Diceros bicornis minor: one gene and its partner. The protein of the gene in region 2 interacts with the protein of the main gene of each other region in a pairwise test. Links are inferred from orthologs where the notes say so. Each region holds a gene or a part of one and is shown on either strand. Other genes may lie near its edges. The genes, in order: CYGB and DDI1.

What was found.
Region 1: the proteins of DDI1 (region 2) and CYGB interact in binary tests that used the Homo sapiens proteins (3 or more experiments, as listed by UniProt). The two-hybrid records come from large-scale screens. The link is inferred for Diceros bicornis minor from reciprocal best matches to the Homo sapiens genes DDI1 and CYGB.

What each region holds. Positions count from the first base shown.
Region 1 is NC_080757.1:56,811,988-56,824,707, forward strand, and holds the start of CYGB (cytoglobin), read right to left. Parts: upstream 5,580-12,720; 5' UTR 5,451-5,579; coding exon 5,308-5,450; intron 495-5,307; coding exon 263-494; intron 1-262. Other genes in the region: photoreceptor disk component PRCD, read left to right, coding at 8,113-8,186, 8,483-8,551, 8,914-8,935. UniProt on the Homo sapiens protein: Probable multifunctional globin with a hexacoordinated heme iron required for the catalysis of various reactions depending on redox condition of the cell as well as oxygen availability.
Region 2 is NC_080746.1:31,214,509-31,226,019, forward strand, and holds DDI1 (protein DDI1 homolog 1), read right to left. Parts: upstream 4,971-11,511; coding exon 3,780-4,970; downstream 1-3,779. UniProt on the Homo sapiens protein: Probable aspartic protease. Seems to act as a proteasomal shuttle which links the proteasome and replication fork proteins like RTF2. Required, with DDI2, for cellular survival following replication stress.

The DNA of each region.
Region 1 (12,720 bases), on a different chromosome or scaffold from region 2:
TCCTTCATGACACAACAGCCTGGCAGCTTTGGGAACCAGACCCCTAAGACAAGGGCTGCCCTGGACCCAGCCTCCCCATCCTGCTGCCCGTCCCCGTCACAGCCACGCCAGGGGAAGAGGCTGGGTGGCCCAGTGGTCACCTCTGCTGCCCTGGGAAGCTCTAACAGAGGCTGAAGGCTGCAGGTGGCTGTGGTACGTGGGCTGGGGGGCTCTGGAGCGGAGTGGGTGGGTGGTGAGGTGGCGGCACCCACCGGTGACATACCTTGAAGTACACGGGCTCCACCTTGTGCTTGAGAGCGTGGGCTTTGCCCACGAGGGCGAGCACAGAGGACACTTTCTCGGGGTCGTGCAGGTTCTCCACGACAGTGTTGAGGGCCCCCATGACCCGGCAGGCGTGCTTCCGCAGCTGGGGGCTCCGCTCCATTTCCAGGGGCTCCTCCATGTGTTTGAACTGGCTGAAGTACTGCTTGGCCGATGGGAAGTTCACAAAGAACCTGGCAGGAGGGAGGCAGCGGAGCTGAAGCAGGGGGCTGCCTTGGGCCCCACCCTGAAGTGGCCAGGACGATAGGGGGTTCGGAGGTGGGAGAGGCAGGACCCAGCCCCACCCCCACAACCCAATAATTGTTTTCACCACCTTGTGTAACTGTCCCTCAAATGCAGACCCTCCTTCTGGCCAAGCTGGCTTACAACAGCCCCCTCCCCAGGTCCCAGCCCTTTCTATCCGCCAGACTTGCTCAGGCTGGCAGCTTTGTCTCCCAGGCCTCTGCCTTCCTTGCTTCTTGCCTCCTTTCCAAGCCGGACACACCCTTCAAGCCCTGCTCCAGTCACAGCCCAGAGGGTAAGAGCGTCAGTTCTGGAATCACGGGGTCCGGGCGTGGCGGTGTGTGACCTTGGGCAAGTTATTTAACTTTTCTGAGCCTCAGTTTCCTATCCATGAAATGGCATCATTGTTCCTATCTTGTTGTGAGTCGTTGTGGCTTGTTGCAAGGAGTAAATGAAAAACTGCACGTGGAGGTCTCAGCACAGTGTGGACATGCCGGCTCAGTAAATGCCGCCCTTTATTATGATACAGTTAGAGCTCTCTTTAGAAACAAAGTAACGGTCACCCAGCCAAGGAAGGGAAGAAATGAGCCTCAGTCCTTCTCCCAGCTCAGTCTCTTCCCTCTTCACTACCCTGCTTCCCTCCTCAGCCCACAGCAACTATGGAGCGGTTCATTTAATTAAAGATCTCGATTGATTTTACCTACTGTATATCTCACCTCTTGAACAAGTCTGTGCACTTCTTGGGGCAGACCCTGGTCTTTCTAGCTCTACTCCTCCCCTCTCCAGTTTATCTGAAACTGTCTAATTCCCCCAAAATATCACTTTCATTAGGTCACTCTCTCACGAACATTCAGGTGCTCCCCATTGTCTACGTCAAAGTCAAAACTCCTGAACCTGGGAGTCCAGGCCTCTTACAAACTGTCCCACACCCACTTCTCCAACCTCAGGTCCACACTCTCCCCTACACTCAACCCATCTCGCTCCAGCACAACAGCCTCACTCACCATTGGCAAAACATTCCTCGGGCGTGCCAGCCTTCCCTTCCACATGGTGGAATGCCTTCCTCACTCTTCCCCGTGTCAGCCTTGCCTCTCCCTGAGCGCCCAAGCTGGCCCAGGGCTACTGCTTTCCCTCGAAGGCCGTTAGTGGGTTCCCTGCCACCATTTACTGCTTCCTCCCCTTCTGCCTGTCGGACTGGTTGTGAGACCCAGCAGAGCCCCCGCACCCTCTGACCCATCACCCCGGCCCAGGGCCCTGCAGTCTGCAGGATGACGTTGATGACATTTGCACTCCCTCTCCCAGCCGGGGCTGGATGTCACGGAAGGTCCACACAGACTCAATCAGAACTTACCGAACTTAACTGAAGCCTCAGAAAATGTATGAAGTGTCTTGGACCTGTTTTTTCAGGTTGTTTCACACCTTTGGAGTGACCCCCTTTGTGATACCAGAGAGAGCTGATAATTTGCCAAAACAGCCCCTTGGCCAGCATTCGAGTCTCAGATCTGAGAGCTGGAACAGATGCAGAAAGAGCATCTGGCCCAGGCCATGCCTTTGGGTGATGAAGCTGTTGCTGGCAGGGGGGTGCGACCAGGACACAGTGCGTGTGGAGACCCGGGAGGGCCCCTCTAGGAGGCCCAGTGTGACCTCCTCTGCAAACCACTTCACAGCCTCCTGTCTGCTGAAGTGCGAGAGAAGTCCCTCCCGCTCGCTATTTCACAGGTATACTGGTGAGGACAAATGAGGTGATGAGTCTGAAAATACACTGGATTTTCTGGAGAAGCACTGTAATGAAGGACAAATGTGAGAAACCCAATCTGGACTTAAATGAGGATCTCAGACTTCAGGGGTTTTACACTGCAGTAAAAATACTGATTTCTACTTGCCTGGTGCGTTAAAATGCGCAGAGCATCTCTACCTGTTATTTCATGTAATTGCCACGACTAAGCAGGTACTATATCCATTGTACTGGTGAGGGAAGAACTGGGAATACTTACTGAGCACTTAGTATGTGATCTCATTCATCCTCACAATACTCTCCTAAGGTTGGCACTGCTTTATCTCTGCATTCTGGATTAGGAGTCGATGCCCAAGGTTGCCTAGCACAGTAGGTGGTGGGGCCAGGAAGGAGCCCAGACCGTCCTTGCTCTGCCGGCTTCCCGCCAGTGAGTCTCCTGCCCCAACACCAGTGCCGGGTCATGGTGCTGAGGAATGACAGGCCCAGGAAGCCCCTCTTCTGGACCAGGGGAGTCTAGGGGCCATGTGATCTGCTCTTTCATCCTGGCTTCTCTCCCAGCCCCTCCATGTTTACTCCTGACCCTCCCAGGCCAGGCCTGTGTTGCCAGGGAGAAGCCTCAGCAGCCAGCCCTGGAGTTCCTAAGCTCCCAGAGGCATGTGGGCTTCCAGGAGAGTCTGAAATAGGCTTGTCTGTGTGTGAGGGGGAAGGCAGCAGAGTTACAACTGGGAAGGGAGCCTTCCTCCAGCATGGGTGTTCCCTCTCGGTCTCCTCCCTGACAGGAAGTAGAGGTGTGGGGTCTGGCTCAGACCCAGAGGCAGCTCCTCCACCAGCACTACCACCGTTGTGGCTGCTAACTCCTCACTGTGTGTGTGTGTGGGGGGGGGTGAGGCTGGCATGAGCCCAGCGGGGAGGGAGGAGGTAAGAGTCAGAGGGCTTGTGTCTCAGGCCTGTCCTTGTGGATGTGTGTGAGGATAGGAGGGAGTCGTGACAAAACTGAGGGGCAGAGGACCTGAGAAGCTTATCTGTCCTTCCCTTACCCCTGCTTTAACACCCCCCGTCCCAACTGGCCAGGTCCTGGGACAGACAGCAGGAGGAGGAGAAAGAGGAAAGGAAGGCTGGTGGGACTTGGGGCTGGCAGGGAGAAGCAGCTGTGGGCCGGGTTCTCCCTCGCTGGGCTGGGCTGGGCTCGGCCAACACAGAGGTGGGGTCAGGTGAAGTGTGAGGTTATCAGCTAGCCAGATCTAATTGATATCTCAGGCCCAATGCCTCCCCCAGCCCACACCCAGCCCCTTCTAAGAGTCAGGAAAGGGGAGCCAGAGGGGCACAGAGAGAGAAGGAAAACCTGCCGAAAGCTCAGACTCTCCAGAAATGGCTCTGCCCTCGGTGTTCAGGTCCTTCCTTTGTAACCCCCATTCCTGGGGAGGTTGGGGGGTGCCCCAGGAGCTGGATCTTGGACACATCCCCTACATGTCCTCATTGGCAAACGACAGGGGTTGGGACGGAAAATCTCCCAGGTCTGTGGACTCTGCTTCATTTCCTCTTGGCGACCTGTGTGTGCACCCTGGTGTATCCCGAGGCCTGGTGGGCCCGTGTGTGCCGACACACAGCTGAGAACAGCCCTCCAGGGATGCAGTCTGGCGCATCCGTGACTCCACTACCCACCGTGAGCTTGTGTGGGTGCTCGCACGTGCAGATCTGCGTCTCCGAATGTCTGATGGCTTCGGGATCTGAAATCCCCTCTTAGCTTCCCCATCATCCCTGGCTGTGTTTCTGGGCCTGGGAGCTGTGGAAATAGCTGCCCCTTCCTCAGGAATCCTCCTCAAAATCCTCAAGACTGCTTCTTGCTCTTTTTCCTCCAAAATCTGTTTCTAAGTTAGAATCAGGGCATATCAATACGGAGCTGGGTAAAAGGGAGAGAGAGTACCGGGGAGAAAGAGGAGCCAGAGACGGGCCAGGCCTGGGAGACACGCATGCACTTCAGCTGTCCTTTCCACAAGCGAGGTTTCACCCTGTCTTCAGATAGTAAGATTGCCCTGCTCTGTCCTAGATTTGACAGCTTCCCTCCACCAAGGACAAGGGGTTGAGAGTGAGTGTGGTCTGGGGCCTCTCTGCCTGCACCCCCAGGGACCAGCACGTGTGGGAAGAGAGCATGGATCTGTAGCTCTAGTCAGCTACTAGCTTGTGGGGCTTGGTGACATTAACTACATAGGAATGGTATACGTGCACCAGTGTGCAGGTGTGAATAACAATGTGTGTGTGCGTCTCTTGGGGGCATCTGGTGCCTGAATGACCCCTGAGCCCAAGACACATGTCCTTTCGTCTCCAGGTGGGGCTTTCAGGGTGGAGCCCTGTCTCCTGAAGCATCTCCCTTTCCCTCCACCAAACTCAGCACAGATTGTATCCTAGGGACTGTTTGCTTCTCCACTCACCTGTGCCCGGCTTGGGAGCACCCTGCTGGTCCACCCCCTTGGGGCAGGAAGCGGCCAGGTGGGAAACTGGACCTCAGCCATCTACTCCTTCTGACCTCCATTCTCTCCCCCTTTGCTCTGTTCTTCCAAGGGGCTTTGAATACGGAAAGAGGCTGAGCTGGAGAGAGGGGTCTGCTCCTCTTTGTCCGCCTTCTTGGCTGAGCCTCAGTTTTCCTGTCTCTAAAATGGGGAACCCCCACTGCCCCCATGTGAAGGGCTGGTAAAATGTGTGTCCATAACAGCTTGGCTGGGGTCGCTGGTGGGGAAGGCATGGCTGCCTGAGCTCAGAGTTCTAAGGCCGAGGAGAGGAGGGGGACGGAGGTGCCTTCCTTTTGCGTCTGGCTCCTAGTTCCTGGTGAGCCCCGCGCCCAGAGCTAGGAAGGGCTCAGCTAGGGTTTCGCCCACCCGAAGGCGCCCCACGCTGCCTGCACCCCTGCCAGCCCGGCCCCAATCACAGCTGAGGAGGTGGCGCCGGAGCTCGGATGGGGCCGAGCCCGCCCCTGCCCGGAGCCGCTGCCGCCCTCCCTCCCCCGGGCCCGGCTAAGCCGGGGCGACACCTACCTTACCAGGATGGCCACCCCCACGTCCTCGCAGTTGGCATAGAGCCGGGCCCACGTAGCCTGCACCGCCTTCCTCTCCGCCTCGGACAGCTCCTCGCTCCGCTCCCTGCGCTCAATCTCCATCTCGCCCGGCACTTTCTCCATGAGCAGCTCCAAGCCCAGCCCGGCTTCGCTCGGCGGCGGCGGGGCGCGGAGCGCGGGGCGCGAGGAGCCGGGGCCGGCTGCGTGCGCGGCGGGCGGGCGGGCGAGCGAGGGGTAGAGCGCGCCGGAGGGAGGGAGCGTGTCTGTCTGTGCGCGCCGGGTGTGTGTGTGTGTGTGTGTGTGTGTGTGTGTGTGTGTGTGCAGGGTATATGTGCCGGGGGGCGGGGGACCGCGAGCGGGGGGCGGGGATGTGGTCTGCTGGAAAAATGTTAAAAAAAATAAATCCGCTCCAAACCCCCAACCCCGCGTCCGTGAGCCAATTCTGGCAAGGTGAAGACTGGGCGGGGTGGGGGCGACGCGGCTGGCGCCCGCCCACCCGCAAGGCCACCGCGGAGTTTGAGCGCCGGGCGGGGCTGGGGCGTAGGTGTGGCGGGTGTCCTGGGGGGTCTCGGGAGGAGGGGGCTGTCACGCGGAGCGGGGCGGCGCGGGCCGCACAGGAGTGCGCCCCGGCGGGTGCGAATCTGGGGGCACCGTGTCCAGGCTCACGCTGCGGGCAGTGTCGGGGCGTGTGCGTGTGTGCACCCTTCACGCGGCGGGGAACTGACTCAAAGTCAAACACTCCCAGGCATCTGCGGCGTGGCCGCCCGCCCGAGGGGGCGGCCGCGAGCCCCTCCAGCGGCGCCGCGGTCCGAGCGGAGCTCCCGCTCGCTCTCCGTCTCCCCGGAGCCAGCCGCTGGGGGCCGCGGCGCCGCTCCCAGAGTTCTGGACCCCAGGCTCTGGAGAGTTTAGGACTGGGGTCGTCTCTCTCCTGGAGTGTCCCTGTTCCAGTACCTTACTAGAACCCACCGCTGAGAGGATGGGAGAGTCGAACTTGAGCGCCAGAGGCCTGCGCCCCCCTTTCCTTCCGGCCAGCACCCCTTCCCGCTCGGTGCACGCACATGGCGTCGGAAAGAAGTCCCCGGGTGGCTTATTAACGACACGGGCAGGCAAAAAACAGGCGCTGCCCCGAAATTCTGGCCCTGGTGAAGCAAAGTCCAAAGGAGGCAGCCGGGCAGGGCAAAGCGGACCTGGGAGGGTCAAGAAGTCTGGGGGAGGCCCAGGCCGCTGGAGACATCTCAATCACCAAGGCCCCGATTAGGGAGGGGTTCTGGGGATGGAGGAGACAAATTCTTGTCCTAGTGGCCCTGCTCAGAGAGGTGTCAGCGGGATAGGACCAGAGGTGGGGACTATGCCTCTGAGAGCCACAAGGTTCCCGCTCTGCAAGCAGCTGCGCAGTACTGGGAAAGCCCAGTGCCACCTCTGCCTCCCAGTGAAGCCTGATGCTGGACCAGGGCTGCAGCATCTGGAACATGTGGGTGTGTCCAGTTCTCACTAAGGCTCCCTGGTGACCCTGCCCTTCTCAAGACTTTGTGTCCCTCTGCTCAAGTTCTCCAAGAGGTTGGCCCTCCTCTTCAGCTTTGGTTTATGTGTTTATTTTAAAAATCACATTTCAAAGTAGAGAGCCCCAGCGCAGGCCCTCCCTGGAGCTCGGGGTTCAGGTTCCTTACTGGAATCCTGGGCAGAAGGCCTCTTGACACTGCCTCCATCTTAGCTGAGGGCAGGAAAATCTAATGCCTTCTTCTGGGAGTCTTGAGGGGGCATGGAGGACAGTGGGTGGGTTCAGTTTCTTACATCACTCTCAGACCCATGTCCTCGTGCTTGTCCCCGGCTGCTATTGCCGCCTGGGCCAAGACTGAACACACCGTGCTGGGCCACTTCACAAAACTCCTCTGATAGTTTCCCAAAGCCAGTGCAGTGGCCTTCCAAATTGCTGCCCAAGAGGTTCCACTGGGATGTGGAAAGTAGCAGAAATCTTATTTCTATTTACTTTCATCTCATCCTTTACCAGGTTTATGTATGTCTATGGTGCAGGACTGTATTTTCACATTAGTACAGTACATATTTACAAGTGGATGCATATATCTATTTCATGAGTGACTTTTACTGAAGAGGGTGTGTAATCAGAAACATTTGGAGAGAAATGTCCAGAGTATAGATCTGAACTTAGCCATCCTTTTACTCCCTGGCCTCCCTTGTCTTTCTGGCTTCATCAGCTAATATTCTTCCCCTGTCCTCCTCCCCACCCCCCATGCCTCCTGTGACATCATTGCTCTGCTGCCACTCAACTTCCAGTTGCTGGAACATGCCCTGCTGTCTGCAGCCCTGGCAGAGTCTTCTGTCTGACCACCCAGCCTCCTTTGAGCAGCTGCAAATTCAGATGCCCCCAGCTCCTCTTTGAAGGTTCCGCTGATGCTTGCAATGCCCAAAGTGCTCTGCAGGTGCCTTTAATTGCCTCAGTCACTCTATTGTGGTCATCCCTTTAACTTGCCAGTGCACTTGTCTAGACTATAAGCCCCCTAAGGGCCAGGCTCAGGTCTTAGCCATATCTACATCCAGAATAGACTGAGGTTGATTTACCCTGCCACAGAGGAGGACAACCTGGGCCCAGTGAGGTTAATCAGTCTTCACAAGGTCAGGTCTGCTGACCCCACTAATCAGCTTGAGCCTCCTAATCCACTGCCAGCAGGAACCTCAGGACACACAGTAGTGGCTTGGGAGAGCTGGCAGGGGCCATTTTGGCCTTCTTCTGCAGACTTGGTCTGGGAGGGGATGGGGCAGCTGAGCCATGTGCACCACCCTCTTCCTGCTTAGCACCTTGGCCATGCTCTGGCGCCGCAGATTCGCCAACCGGGTCCAACCGTGAGAAACTGACTAGGCCATGGGCTGGGGTTGGGGGAGAACTACTAGGCTGGGCTACAGCAGAGCTGAAGGTGGGCAGGCGCTGCCTGGACCTCCAGGGAGGCTGGGAGGGATTTGCAAGGAATCCCTGAGGGGCTCCCCCACAGAGTAGGGGGAACTTGGAGCTCTTCAAAGACACTGGCTGCAGTCTCCAGTCCCATAGCCCAATGTGGCTAGGTCTTGCCAAAAAGCAGGAGAGGGGATTTGGGGTCTGGGCACTGCCCACAGTTCTTCCTGCCTGTTCTTCCCTCCCACAGAGAGCCCAGTGGAGTGAAGGAGGCAGTTAGGGGCAGCAGCTTGGAAAGAGACCTCCAGTCCTCAGGCAGGTAAGGCAGAGGCGAGTCTGGGGTGGAGGAGGGAGGGTGCTACCAAAGAGGCTGCCGCTGTCCCCTGGCCCTGTCCGTGATGAGCAGGGGTGTGTGTGTGCTGTATGCTAGCCCTCGCCCCAGCCACGCTGTTCCCTGTATGCCTGGTGGGCAGGCTGACTGTGTTCTCCAGTTGGGAATGGGAGCCCCCAGCCTCTCTGGACCAAAGCTGCTCTGCTTTGCTTGTCCAGGTGCAGGGTGGTCCCCAAGGTTCCTTCTGTCAGAAGGTGCAGGGGCAGTGGAGAGAGGGATGAGGCAGACGCAGCTCAGCGTTGCTTTGCTCGCCTTCCCTCCCCCGTCCCTCTCTCGCTGTCTCCGCCCAGCCTCAGCGGCTCCACTGCCTGAGCCTCCAGCGGGATTCGCTGTCCAGTCCCCAATAGGAGGCGCAGGAGGAGCATGACATCATCGGCTCTGAGCGCCATTGGCTGGGCAGCCCCTGGGGCAGGACACTGTCTCCAGCAGCCAGAAAGTTAACTCTTCCCTAGGCTGAAGCCATGTGGCCTTTACAAGGGGTGAAGTTTTGGGAACTTCCAGACTTTTCTTTCCCTGGATGACCAGTGTCCTTTGATGATAGGGGCTCTTATGCCTCAAAAAACACTGAAAAATCAACAAATATTTATTAAGAACATACTGTTTGAAATGTTCTTTTGTGCCTACGGACCCACCTACTGCCGGAGCCCTATCTGAAGAGTGACATTCTCTCCTGTGGGAGCGTCTACTAGTCCCCTGGCACTGCTTCTCTCGCTCCTAGTGAAACAGAGTGTGACACCCTCGGGCTGCAGGGCCCCTGGAAGGAGGGTGTCTCCGGGCTCAGAAGGCTGAGACAGTCAGCATGCATGCATGCCCGTGCACTCCCATGTCTCTTTCAGGGTGTGGAACCTGCCTGCGATATGGCCCTTAGCTATGTGGAGACCTGGTGAGCTGAGAGAAGCTGAGGCTTTCTCTGTGTCTTGGCCCCTGATTTCTCAGGGGCCAAGTCCGGGGTCCACCAGGTTCCGAATGTCAGAAGGCCCACGGGGAAGCGGTGGGCATGTGCGGGGAACAGAGGCATTTCTGTCATGCCCTTCCTCCACATTTAGGCTAGCTGAGATGGTCACAAAAGTGCCTAATGACTACTATTGGTGAAATGGGCTGGCATATACAAAATGATCATCACTAGGCCTCCCACAGAGGAGGCCCTCAAATGCTCACTGGTCCTCACTGTTGAGTTTGGATCTAGAGTTGGGCAGCCAGTGTTTAAATCCTGGCTCCCCTCTTACTAACTGAGAGACTTGGGGCAAATCATGTAATCTATTTACTTGTATTAAACTGGGATTAATAATAGAGTGGTTGTGAGGTGTCTGTGAGGTTTAAATGAGAGAATGGTTGTAAGCACTGGGCACAGAGCAACTGCTCAGTGCAGGCGAGTTCTCCCGTTGGAATCTGACACATGATCAGTCTTTATTCACCCCCAGATGTTTCTCATATATTAACTCACTGGGAAGTCGCAATAGCCTCAGAAGGTTGGCAGGATAAGTGTTTCTTTGTTTTTTTTTGTGAGGAAGATCAGCCCTGAGCTAACATCCACGCCAATCCTCCTCATTTTGCTGAGGAAGACCGGCCCTGAGCTAACATCTATTGCCAATCCTCCTCCTTTTTTTCCCTGTTTCTCCCCAAAGCCCCAGTAGATAGTTGTATGTCATAGTTGCATATCCTTCTAGTTGCTGTGTGGGACGCTGCCTCAGCATGGCCGGACAAGCGGTGCGTCGGTGTGCGCCCAGGATCTGAACCCGGGCCGCCAGTAGGGATTGCGAGCACTTAACCGCTAAGAGAGCACTTAACCGCTAAGCCATGGGGCTGGCCCCAGGACAAGTGTTTCTATCTCTTATTAATGGTGGAGGATACTGAGGGACAGGGAGACGTAAATTTCTTGCTCAAGGTCATCCATCCGGTTTGTGGCTGTTATGGGACTGACAGGCCCCTGATTCCAGGCAGTCCATCTCCTCTAGGTGAAATGGGCCTGGACCTCCTGTCAGGAGAGGAAAGGCCGAATCTGGGACCATCTGGCCAGGCCTGGCCTGGTATGGCCTAGCCAGAAGGAAGCAGATGCCTATTAACTCCTTGGAACCCAGTTAACCCAAAGAACTGGCCTAACATCTCACATCTCCTGCTGATGGCGGCTGCCACGGAAGGCTGGCCCAGGGTGGGGGTAGGGGTGAAAATTCTGCTAATTCCACAGTCAGAAATTCCAACTGTATGGTTTCTTGGGTGTTCCTGCCTGTCAGTAGTGGGGTGAACTGCTAGGCATGGGGTGGGAGGAAGAAGTCCGGAAATACAGGAAGGTCATCCCCTCCAATCCTCTGACTCTTGTGCATTTCTCTGTTTAGGGAGAAAGACACTCTGAAATAAGCCGTCACCTCTTCAGGCGGAGCTCAGCCCAAAGATGGGAATCAGCTGGCCAAGGCAGGTAGGGCCAGGCCGTGAGCCCTGGAGGGCAGAGGGCAGAGCTGGGGACAAAGAAGGAAGAATATGCAAGGCCTGGCCACGTGGGAGCAAAGCAGGCTGTCTTCAGCTCTGTGGTCATGGACAGAGGTTAGGAGAGGGAGGTGGACTCCTTCCATGAGCTCCTGCCTTGAGCCTGTTCTGTTCCAGGCCTCAGGACCAGGGTGAGTTTTAGGAGCACCACGTGTGATCTTTATAGCATTTTCTAGACTTGGGGATGAAGTGGTGGTCATTCTGGGGGCCCGAGGCAGTGCTAGAAGACTTCCAAAGGAGAGGTGGTGTTCTGGAATGTCCACTCTGCAATACCAGCCCCTACCTTGGCATGGGAGAAAGTGCCGATCTGGTCTGGTTTTCTGTTTCAGCTCAAGTACTAGTTTTCCCCCTATCCCAGAAAGATGCTGTGGTGGAAGAGGCAGCAGCAAGAGGGAGAATGGGAAAAGCAGCAATCGAGAAGGTACTTTCCTAACCTCAGCCCCTGGACCTGCCAGTCCTCACTTCTCCCCAAGCCCTGGCTGTGGGGCTCCTGAGGCAAGGCCTGGCCAGGAGGGGCAGAGATGCTCATTGCTCTGGGATGGGCTGCCATCCTCTGAGTTCTTGAGGCTCATCTGAGGCAGGCCCAGAGAGAGGGACTCGGTGGGGTGCACCTGGTTAACTCTGGGGCAGCCCATCAGCCAGGCTGGGGTAGGAACAAACCTGGGTGAGGGGACTCCAGAATCGAGGGGCAGCTCATGTTGACTAAGGAGGGACTTCCCATTCATTCTCTAATTTAATCCTCACAATAACCCCAGAGACGGGGCATATTACCCACATTTTAGAAAGGAGAAACAGAGACAGAGGTTAACTAACTTGCCCAGCGTCACGTAGCTAGTAAGTGGGGGACCCCAGGCTCATATGGAGGCTGCAGAGCCCTTGTTCTTACCCTGAAACCACCTGGAAGTTTGCAGGTGAGAGAAGGGGTTTCACTGGCTTGGCCGCCTGTCTCTGACAGCTCAGGAGCTGTACTGTTAAACCTCAGCTGTGGTCCGGGCAGTGTGGAGTCAGACCGCTTGCCATGCTGGCACACACTTCCTGTGGCATCTACCTCCCCCACCCTCGTCCCCAGAGCTCACTCTGTCACTGGCTGCTCTGCTGAAATTATCAATAAGAAATGCCAGTTGGATCTGTGACATGTCTGCCTGCGGCTGGATGGAAGCAACCCACAGCTTGTCCTGTGTTTTCTGTGTGTATGTGCGTGCGTGCGTGTGTTCCAAATAGGCAGTAGCATGTGGGAAGGGAAAAAGCATGACGCTTGTTTTTGTCAGTCTGCTGACTGCTCAGTAACGGTGGCGGTGGCGGCGCAGCCTCTTTTGCCCCCAGCTGCTCTGCCATTTCTCTCTCTTTACAATCCTGCCCGATCCTGAGCAGAGATAAAAGCAGATTTCCGCTTCTGCTCCCTGAGATCCAGGCGCAGACCCTGCAGGCAGCTGCTCCTGACTGTCTCACAGTCATTCATCTTCCAGAGCCCTCATCCCCACATGCGCGTGCATCTCTCCTCCCCTTCCAGCCCGCTCTACCCACTCAGCGGCGAGGTCTCTGCCTGGCTGGCCCCTGCCCCTGACTTTCAGGAAGCAGGAGATGGAGGAATTCTCTAGACAGCAGCACCTCAGCCA
Region 2 (11,511 bases):
GTTAGGTCTATTTCATCATGGGCTCTACTTTATCATGATTTCTAATGAGAAAAAAGAAAATGAAGATTTGTTCATCATTTTCCAGGTAGTAAATCCCGATAGTAGATAATTCCCAGCAGTAGATATTGTAAGTTGTATGTTAGCAACCTGAGCTTTAAGAGAAGAGTAAGTTTGTTTGTTTTCCAGCATCAGTGTTGGTCATTTTAGACATATTGAAAGTGCATTTTACTGGCTTACTTATTTCTTATTTTAAAAATAATCTTAAATTAAAATTCATTCCTTCATTTGTACCAACTTATTAATAATTCCGTGTCCACCTGTTTTGTTCTTAGGTGGTTACAAGTCTTTGTCCTACCCCTACTGGATTGTACTCACCTTGAGATCTGGAACTGTAACTTAATTCATTTCCTTGTATATAAAAACTTGGCTCAGTGCTTATTTCATGGGTGTTCAATAAATAATTGTTGAGTGTGTTCTGCTTACTGCTACTCTGTTGTCATTTTTAATGGTACTGTTTTGGTAGTTGCTATAGTTATTTTTTTTTTGCTCTTACAAGTAGTTGGGCCATTTATTGGCATTAGGAAAACATTCCTTTAAACAAAGGAGGGGATCCTGAACACTAAAGCCTCCCCCCTTTTATGAAAACTTGTGACCAAACTCTCCATCATCAGTACACAGCTTAATCACCGATAAGAGCAAGCATTCAAGTTAATGAAATTTTATAACAATTTTGAACTGGTACCTAGGATTAAAATGTGTCAGGTAAAGAGGTTACATAGTGGAAAGAACTTGAAATCAGAAAGACTTGAATTCAGCAATCTGGTAGGTCAGTCAGTGTTTTTCTAATTGTGGATCAGGATACCTTGGTGGGATACAATTAGTGGGACCTGCCTATTATATTTTTTAAATAATAAAATATAATTTTTCAAAGTACTAGACCAGGAAGGATAAAACATTTCATATTATTTCAATGTTTTTGTTTTCAATGCTTTTTGTTTCAGAGACAGACAGACTTGTGTATGTGCATGTGTTTGTGTGTGTGATATGAAAATGGTTCACAATCTAAAATGTAGATTGTTGTCAAGAAAAAATTTTAAAAACACTAAGCTTTGAATATTTGAATGTTTCCTAGTAATTCTGAGCTCTGAATTTCCCATCTATAAAATGGAGTTAATGATAGCTACTTTGAGGGTCTATTCTGAGGATTAATAGCAGTAATATATGTACCTTGTATAGCATCTGATTTACATAGCGGACATACAAAAGATATTGCCTTTTACTAAACCTAATCCATTTAAAATTTAATTGATTAGGATCTATTCAGGTATACACAGGATTGAGTTAAGACTTTAAATCCATGAAACTAATTTTTAAAGTACTTTCTGATATGAGATACAATGACCTTAAAATATTAATCAGTAAGGGCATTGCTTAATTAATTTACTGTTTATTGATTTTTCTTTGAAATCATTGTTCTTCAATTCAATAAAATTGTTTTTAATTTCCCAAGCTTTTCACTCAAGTAATATTTTTATAAGCTGGAATATGTCCAAAGGAATATGACAGAAATTTTTAGGTGATTCCAAACTTATCCTATGAGGAACAGTTAAAGAATTTGGTTAAAGCCTATAAAAGAGAATATTTAAGATGACATCGATTTCATATATTAAAAGGATTGACTCATGCCAGAGAAATTAAACGTGTTCTTGGCGGAAGGAAGAGTGAAGACATTTATTGGAAGTTATGGAATAATAGAGTTCAGCTCAAAATAAGAAAAAAGAGTTATACCTGAGACTGGTCTTAAAACATTATAGCTACCTTAGAACAGATGTTCTTCTGAGACGGGAGAGTGTGTATGGTCAGATTTGATATTGTGCAAATTGTCTTTTAGTTTAAAGATTCAGTGATTTTTAGAGTGGCTTTTATGGGTTAGATATCTTGTTAAGCCACATACTAAACTTTTATGTGACATATGCAAATAAGATGTGTTTTGCATAAATGGGCCTTAAAATTGAGTCCAGTAGAAGATGCTGAGGAGTTTGCATATTTTTATCTGTGAAGGAATCCATGCATTTATCAGTCAGTTCTCTAATCCCAGGCATTTAATTGCTTTTCCCTGGCTTTAGTCTGAATTTCTTCTTTCATTTTGTTAACTACATTTGTCCTGAGTACTTAATTAGAAAGAAAAGTGGAAAAGAGGTCTGTCCATTGGTCATTTATAGCAGCTCTACTGGGTGTAAGCCTTGGTGCAAGTGTAGACAAGGTTGAGGAATGCAAGCATAGGAACACCTGTAAGGAAGAAGAGAATTGGGAGGTGAACTGATGATGGCTGGAGGGGAAGAGGTGACTCTCTTTAGAAAGAAGATGATTAGTCTCTCCAAGAAGCAGACCAAGAAAGGGATATGGTGATTATAGGGGAGGATTTTTTCTTTTTTCTGTGGGATATCCTAGATCACAATGTAGTCTTAGTAGCTGAAAATAGCTCTCCCCTCTGAAACAATTTATAGATGAGAAATCTAAGTTGTATAATATATGAACTGATTTGCCTAAGTAATTTAGAGCTAGAATCAGAACATACATTTCTTGACTTTGAATCTACTGTTCTTTCTAATACCAGTCTTGACAGATTATTGCCCTGAAACATGTTCTCTGACTCTGATTTCCTCAGGCAGCTGGACCTTTTGTCTCAGGTGTTTTACATAGGTTGTAATTAAGTCTAGGATCTTCTATTTCACACTATCAGTAGTAATGGAGAGTAGCTTTGTTGGAGTGGGTCTCTAAGGCATGAATGAGGCCTTAGAGATCTTCTCTTGGAGAAGTTTCCAATGTTATTTTAACAGTGAAACCCTCTGTTCAAACAATATTTATGTAGCAGCTTAATATATAAAGCAGATTTTTTTCTTTTTTTTCAAAAAAAGGAGATGATCTAGTTGAAATGAGTATTGGGGGACCTGGACCACTGCCTGCCCCTTCTTCCCACTCCCACCACAATACAACCACGAGGCTTTCAAGAAGCACCATAATTTAAAGAAAAAAATCTACTTGACTGCCTTCGTTTTACAACCAGGATTTCTTTGAATGCAAGAGAAAGAGGAAATTATTTTAGGACATACTAGGAGAAAAATCCATTTTCTCAAATACGGCAAAAATAGTTTTTAGGGGCAGATTGCAGTGAGCATGACTCCAGAGGAGTGCAGGGGAAGGAAAGATCTAAAATATGAGGAAATTGGCCCTTAAGATGTCGAAAACAGACATTTATAAGTACTGCATTAATCAATTCAAGAGTATAATTGACCCACCATTTTTAGTACTTTTCCCAAAGAAAACAAAATCTGTGAAAATAGACACATTTCTCTGAATATAAATGTTAGTGCTGACTTGAAACTGTTTTGTGTAGATGTCTTGTAGGGTCTGCAGCAACGGCTTTTTCTGGGGAATTCTGCAAAATAGCAACTGGTTTGGGCAAGCCACCCTATAATCTGATAGGACAGTGTTTCTAAAGGAAGAGGCTGCTTTTCCTTTCATGGATTATCTGGAAATCAGTTGGAGCCTCCAGAGCCTTCCCAAGATGAGGTTCAATGATCTTTGGGTAAGGGGAATGGAAGAGGGGCCAAGATCAAGCAATCTCGATTGACATAGTGACAGATCTGAGAACTTAGACCCAAGGCCAGGTTACTTGTTACTGATGTTTTTAATGATTACATTGCCAGTGAGCTCATGTCTTATAATTTCCTGGGACCTGAGACTCCCTCAAAGTGGTGGTATGTTTATAACCTGTCTCAATGCTTTTTTCTTCCTGAATCCATGACTGAATGTTTAATAGTATCTGCTGCTTCTTTATTTGAAGACTCTTCTTGCCTAGCACCACTTAGCAGCTTAGCACATAGGGGTAACTCTCCCTCAGGAAGAAAGTGAGTCTGTGTGCCAGTGGTGCCGATCACCAACACGTTTTTCTTCAAGTCAATGGAACATTGATGTCTCCTGAGCATGTCTAGCCCTAGAAGCATGTCCATGGGCTGATCCTCGAGGATAGAGAAAGAGCATTGTAAGAAATCACCTTCGATTTGAATCTGAGCTAGATGAACTCGGCCAATAATCCTCTGCGTGCCTACTCCTTTAGCAATCCCAGCCCACCGTCGATCCACCAGGCGTATTATATTACATCTCTCGGCGCAAGCTTGGCTCATAATGGTCATCTGGGCCCCCGAGTCAACAAAAGCCTTCAAAGGATGTCCATTCACTTTGCAGTTAATATAGAGCATGGCCACTTGCCCGAAACTCTCTGGAGCCTCTTCCATCGCTATATTCATGTTTTCCTCAATGTTCTGCTGCCGGATTTCCTCTTCTATTTTGGCCTGAGCTTCCAAATCAAATGGGTCAGCAGAACAGAGGCGAAGCCTCTCTTGCTCTCTCAGGGCCCTTTCCCTTTGCTGCTCCATCAGGACCTGAGAAAACGTCTCCAGGTTTCCGCTGAGCAGGGCTTCCGCTAAGGGGGGGTTGCGTTCCTTCAGCAGGGACAGATCGTGGGGATTGGAGAGCAGCATGCTTCGGATCAGGGTGGGGCTGTCCAGACCTTGAGCAGACATCTTCTCTCCGGAGTCCAGGCCAGGGGACTTCTGGGCCGACTGTGCACGCTGGTGCTGCTGCCGGGAGCTGGACGTCCCAGGCTCAGCTATCCCGGTGAAATCAATCCGAGGCAGGCTTGATGTCCGTCCACAAGGCCGAGGTCCCACATACTCCTTCTGAAGCAAAACAACGACATCGCCATCTTTGAGGCCATAGGAGCCCAGGGAACAGTGGTCGTCAGCGAGGAGTCGCTCCATGTAGATGATCTGGATCTCTTCAGCGGGGACACCAGACTCGAGCTCACAGAGGACGCGGAAGCTGTGGAGCTCCAAGTCAGGGCTGACCTGGAGGGAGAAGGTTACCTCGGAGAGGTCCCTCCGCACGCAGTACACAGTGACCAGCATGGCATGGGCTTAGGAGGGCCAGATGGGCAGAGGGCATGGATTCTTCACTGGCTGACTGGAGCTGGTCTTTATTGATGGCTCAGTTGCTCCTCAACACTTGGTGCCTTGTTGTGGTTCATTCACCTCTCCAGGAAGCACAGCCGCTCACCAGTCTGGGGGCCGCTTGCCAGCCTCAGTGCCTGCTGCCTGGCCCTGTGGAACCTTGAGGTAACATGTTGTGTTCCAAAGTTAATTTGTATGTGTGCTGTTTGGAACTTAGAACGCCCAGTCCCATAGAAACGAAGTTACTCGAGTCCTTTAGGTTCCAAGGCTAGCCCTTCAAAACCTATTTAACCTGTCATATGAAAAGGATGATTTCAACTCTTCCTAAACAACATATTAACATTCATTTTGTTCATTTGAGAATGGTATCCTACATACTTTTACTTACTCTCCAAACAGTGAGTGTTGTTTCCTAGATGGCAATTATCATGCTATGTGCTTGGTATGAAAGATGGGGCAGACTGGGTGCCTACCCTTGAGGAGCTCACATTCTAGGGAGGGACCGATGGTAAATGGGTAAATCACAATACTGGAGGTAAGTGCTTTTACAAAGACACGTTAAGCGAAACAACAGAACAGAGGACGTTTCTCTAAAGAGGAGACACAGTGGATGTTGACAAATGAGCATTTTCTGTGAAAAATGATGAGTCACCCCAGACAAAAAGAACTGCATGTACAAAAGCAAGAATTCATGACACAGGCTATTATTTCCAGAGAAAAGTGAGACATTCAATGGAACAGGAGAAATTTGTACATGAATTTGATTGGCAAGATATGAAGCTGGAAAAATTGATTGGAGCCAGTTTATAGAAAGAGTAATATGAATCCAAGGAATTTAAATATTATCAATAAGCAAAAATCCCTTCTCAAAAAAAAAAAAAGGAGAGAAGAAAAAGAGAAAGGAAAGGAAATGGCAAAGATTTAAAGCAGGTACTTGTAATGTTTATTTTTTTCATTTAATTGATTTAAGGAAGATGCTTCTTGAGACATATGGAGGACATATAGTGGCAGGAGAGACAGGTAGAGACTTTCTCAATGGCTCAAAGAGGGAGCTGTTGCTAGAATTTGAAAATATAAGGAAGACTAAAGCCAAACCAGTAGAGAAGAAAAATGTTTCTTGAGTAGAATGGAAAGGATGTGTTTACCCATTGGATGTGGGGAGTATAAAAGAAGCAGAATGTGTGGATAACACAGCGAGTCTCTAAAATGAGAGATTGGTTAAAAATAAGCCATTACCTTACATGGATGTGTGAGATGAACCTTTGAGGAGACCAATTTGACATTAGTTCTGTAGTAAAATGTATGATGAATGCCACCCTGGAGACCAGATATGCCTCGCTCTCTAGCCCTAGGGCACAGCCCCTCACACACACACACACACACACACACAGACACAAACACACACACACACACACACACTTCAGAGTGGAGACTTGCCAAGTAAGTGTAAAGAGGTCCTTCAGGGCAGATGGTGACTGGGTAGAAATCCTTGAGTGCCAGTTGTTTATATTTCACCAAGTGTTACGCACTGTAAAGAGCTCACGGTTCCCTGGCTTGGTCTTCCCAGGCATATTTTCATATGAACCAAGATAGTCAACCTCCTCTGCCTCATCCCCTCTCTTTATTTCAAGTTTTGTCAGAAGACCTGCACCATTACTTAGAGAAGGGTGTTGCATTAGCCTAAAGAATTTTTTTTTTTTTTTGGCTCCTGGTTCTCATGTGTTTGTCTCAGATGGAAGACCATATCTCACTCATTGCTGTAATTATCATAATGTTTCCATACCGTGTTCATTTATATTGAAAATATTGACTGAATGCCCAGTGTGTGTGAGACATGTACTATGTTCTGGGGATACACACAGGAATAATGTTAAGTACAGGCTGTGTTCTTAAAGGAGCTCACAGTCTAAAAGGACACACACACACCTGCGTGCACACACACACACACACACGAATTGGGGGTTAAAAAATTCCACAGAAGCCAACACAATTTGGGAGAAATGTCTGAAGAACAAAAGAAGATGGAGAGGGCTGGAGGGCAGGGAGGGCTTCCTAAAAGAGTTGGGCTTAAAAAGATGACAAGAAGTCAGCCGTGTGGGGGTGAGTGGGTGAAGAAACAAAGGCTGAGAAGAGGATAGCCTAGTTGAGAGTCTTTAACTGGAAAGGCAGCATGTCATGATATGGAGGACCTTATAAAATTTTAGGGGAAAAAATGTAGCATTGTAGTTTTACTGTAAAGAATTATGAATTATTTAGAGCTGTTTTTTACTATTTATAGAGATGGATGGCACTTTGACCCCAAAATATTAAGTTAATAAATTTCTTTTGTGGTTCTTAGCATCCTGGTGAGTTCATCAGAGATCAATAATGGTTTTTCCTGAGTTTGGGAAAAACTATAATGTGAGACATGTCACATGCAAACTACTCTGCTAAAGAATAGATGAGAAGCCAGGGAGGCTTACATTTATCTTCCTTCCCCCACTCCCCCAAGTAGCTCTGGACAGTTCGTTCTTACAATCTTAATAAATTAGGGAGATATACTAGGGTTTTTGTTTTTTTTAAACAGTGGATGAAATTATTTTTGTAGAATAAGCTTTTTTTTTTTTTTTGGCAAAGCAAGAATTCAAGGCTCACATCAAAAGAAACTAACCTCTTTTTTTGTGTATTACCGTTGCCTTGATACTGAACATAATTAAGCTTTATGTGGTATGTTTTATTATCTTGCTATAAATCTTTACTTTTGGTGGCATTTTGCATTTATGTGCTTTTAACTATTTTATACTTTACTGAGAACATAGAAAGCAAAAAGCCTCCAAGTTTGGCCAATTAACTGTCATGGTGCTATAGATCACAGGATGTGAGGATTGGCAGGGGTCCTTCGGATTCTCTGGTCTAGCCATCCACCCACGCCTTAAACCTCTGTTGCGAAACAGCCTGGAATCTGAAAAGATAAACACAGCCTCCTGGGACTGTTTAGTACAAATGTTCATATATTGTTTGAGTCTTTCATTTTACCTAAGACTATTGGTGATTCAAATACCATATGTGTAATTCTCTTACCTCAATATTTTAATTAAAAACCTCTTCTGATTATGTAATAAACTTGGGGCTCATTGGGAGCATATATAAATACTCTTAAATATAAAATGTTGTTACGCCATTATTCCTTACTGCACAGACCACTGAGAATTATCTAGGTGTGCTAATCTAGGTAACAGAAGGTGATTGCAACTTTTCTTGAGTTTTTTGTGAAGTATATTCCCTTACTTTTCTTCCTTGGTAAGTACAAAATAGGAACGTAATTGAATCTTTCTTTGATAAGTGAGACTCTTGCAAGGTCTCAGGGCTATCACTCAGAAAATCAATTCTATTGTATAGCCTAAATACCCAGAAAATAGAAAAGATGACATTGATTTCATACTGGCCAAGTAAATAACCCCAAAGTTATTTTTAGAATAAACCCACAATAATAGTTTTTATAATTTGCCTCTTTATAAAAACTCACTGGGGCAAAAAATAATCCATATAATTGATGATCCCACTTAGTATAGTCAGTTGTTGTTTAAAATACTGTCTCTTGCTTTACAGAGCAAAATAAATGGCTTTTCTGTGAAAAAAGAGTAGCTACATAGATGTCATTATGTAGCATATACAATAATTAAACCACATTAAGCAAATATATTAGCTTGCTGTGTTTGGATTCCTTCCTAATGTGCCTGGTATTACGTTTAAAATAAAGTGTAATCGAGACTTATTAAGATACTTAAATCATCATTTGATATTTTTCAATGCAGCTTAGGAAAGATGCAGACTTTTTAAAGCTGTGTTCATAGATTAAACAACTAATTTTCTCACTGTTCTTCCATTTGCTTTATAAAAATATGATAAATTGTGCCAGAACTGTCATGAATGAATAAACATTTATTTCTTCAGATAGTTAATTATTTAATAGACACATTAAAAATGCTCTAATGAAAGTTCAAGCTTTTTTAGTATGTTTAGAGGTTTCCCATATGAAAAGGTTTAGTATTGCCCGTCTTTGAAGCGTAAAGGCCATGATAAGACCTCTCATACAAATATATAAACAGATGTGTAATTGAAGAAGCTTATGAGACCTGAGAATTTAGTCTGTATCTACCTGCTGACAACTCAGCTAGCCGTTTTTCTTCGTCTTAAGGAGACAGAATATGGACAGAAGACCCATATGCACACACACGCATGCACTCACATGTGGAGAGAGAGAGCGAGCAAGTGCACACTCAGGACATGTTTTCAATTACTTTGAAAGTGCAATGAAAAGATTATGTCATTTTCCAGCAGGGAATATTTTTATGGTGCATTTTGTTTATTGCTTTAATTTATAGATTATCGTTTTAACATTTTATCATAAAAAGAGATGCATTTTACGTTATATATGGCGTGTTGGAAATAACATAATCTCTTGATATCTTTTGGTGTTTTCAAAATATATACTTTCCAAGTCTGTACATACGTGGGTTATACATTCACGTGTATAATCTCTTGATAACTTTTGGCTTTTTCAAAATATGTAAGTCTAATATTCCAAGTCTAAATATACATGTGTGTGTATTTGCTTATTTTTAAGAATGTTTGCTGCTACAGTTTTGTGCCTTATGGGCCCTTCCAATGTCCGAATCATATAAAAATTGATGTGTGAAACACACACCTTGCTGTTGAAGTTTTGGAGATTACTTATAATTTGTGAGAGAAACATTTATAGATTAAATGAATTTAGTGTAATAAATTAAAAACAAGATAAAAACGATTTATGACTTTGTGTGTTGTCAGTTACTTGGTTCTTAATTTTCAGTGTCCCTTAGAAAACGAATGTTTTCATTTTCCCATTCCTGTTATGTGGAGAATAGCCATGTAACACAAAATAGTAATAGTAATGATAATAGGGCCTTATGTTTTAAATTCCACTGTGATTGAGGATCATTATTCAAACCGTTTTTTATTGTTTACTCTTTTATAGTAACGTAATCAACTCATTTCAAAATCACTGCCACTAGTTTAGAAATACCAATGTGACCTATGCATAAGTTCAATTACACTTTAATAACTTCAACGTAAATTTTCTTTGTCAGAATACTAATGCTTGTTCTATATGAATTCATCATTACATTTAGGTAATTGTATATTATTCTGAAAATGAGAAAATTAGCTGGTTCTTTCCAGGTGGTATTAATATTCAATCAACAAAGTATTACTTTTTAAACCTCTTATAGGTGTCTATCTCTTCTAGGGTAGTTGGTAGAAAAGTCATATATTTCTGAGCATAATTCCTAAACTTCCAAGAACAATGATGTATATTAGACCAAAATATCAACTAGAGGACGATGCAAGGAGGTTTGCAAGTCAGCACCTTTATTAAATCTTTCTTATACTTTTGTTTTAGAAATAATATCTTTATTTCATTAAAACTATTTGCATGAGATTTTTCCTCCATTAGTTTTTTTTGATGTCAGATGCCTTATCATATTCAACCTTGAAACCTCCAAATTTCCTAACACAGGGTCTTGATCATGATGTATAACCAAAAATGTTTGAATGAATGGCAAAATAACAACAGACCTACCCACTGGACAAGAGTCCACATAAAAGAGTAGCACTGAAATCCTAGTCTTCATGAGTCCCTTCTCACTGCTGCCAGGAAGATGCTGCTATGGTTTGAAACCACTGTTTGTATTTGTTTTATTTAGTTCTAATTTACTTGTGATTTCTGTGGTTTTCCACTTTGTCCTTCCTATATTGTCATTCCTAGTGGGAAATCAGTGGAGGGCAATATCATTCTTTGGAAGTGTCTTGGCTTGGTTTCATTAATTGCCCAGAAGTATATGTATTTGGAAAGTTATAGACTTGTTTAATATTTCTATAATTAGTTAAGTTTTTTACCATTTGGAGATGAGCTCAGAAACATGTTAATAATTTTTCATGGTAAATATTTAATGACCACTTCCTATGAGCAAGTCAATGGATGAAGGGCCTCGGGGACAGAAGGATGAATAGGAATCACTTTCCTCCTTCAAAGAACGAGATATTGACCAGGGCAGATAAGACTCGTGCACTTGGAATTATTTTATGTAACAGAAATAAATAAGAGTCATGATAGATGTGTAAAGAAAATGCTGTGCTTGCTTAGAAGAGATAAAAGTAACTTGTTGGAGGAGGGGAGTACAGGGAGTGGATGGGACTGTGCAGAATGCTCACTACAGGAAGTGCCACTGCATGGAGCCGGGAAGAATGATTTGGTCACAGCTGTAGTTAAATTTTACCTACCTGGGTTTGGAGGAACAATCCTTTCCTTGACGTATCATAACACTCACTCAACTCCTTTCTCCTCACACAAACGTACATTTTACTTTTCATTTTTAACTTGCAGATGCTATAACCAAATGCACGCGGTAGGATGGTAGGATTGGTGCAGGGAAAGAATAGTAGTCTAGCCTTCCTAAAAAGCAGTCTTCTCAACCCCCAA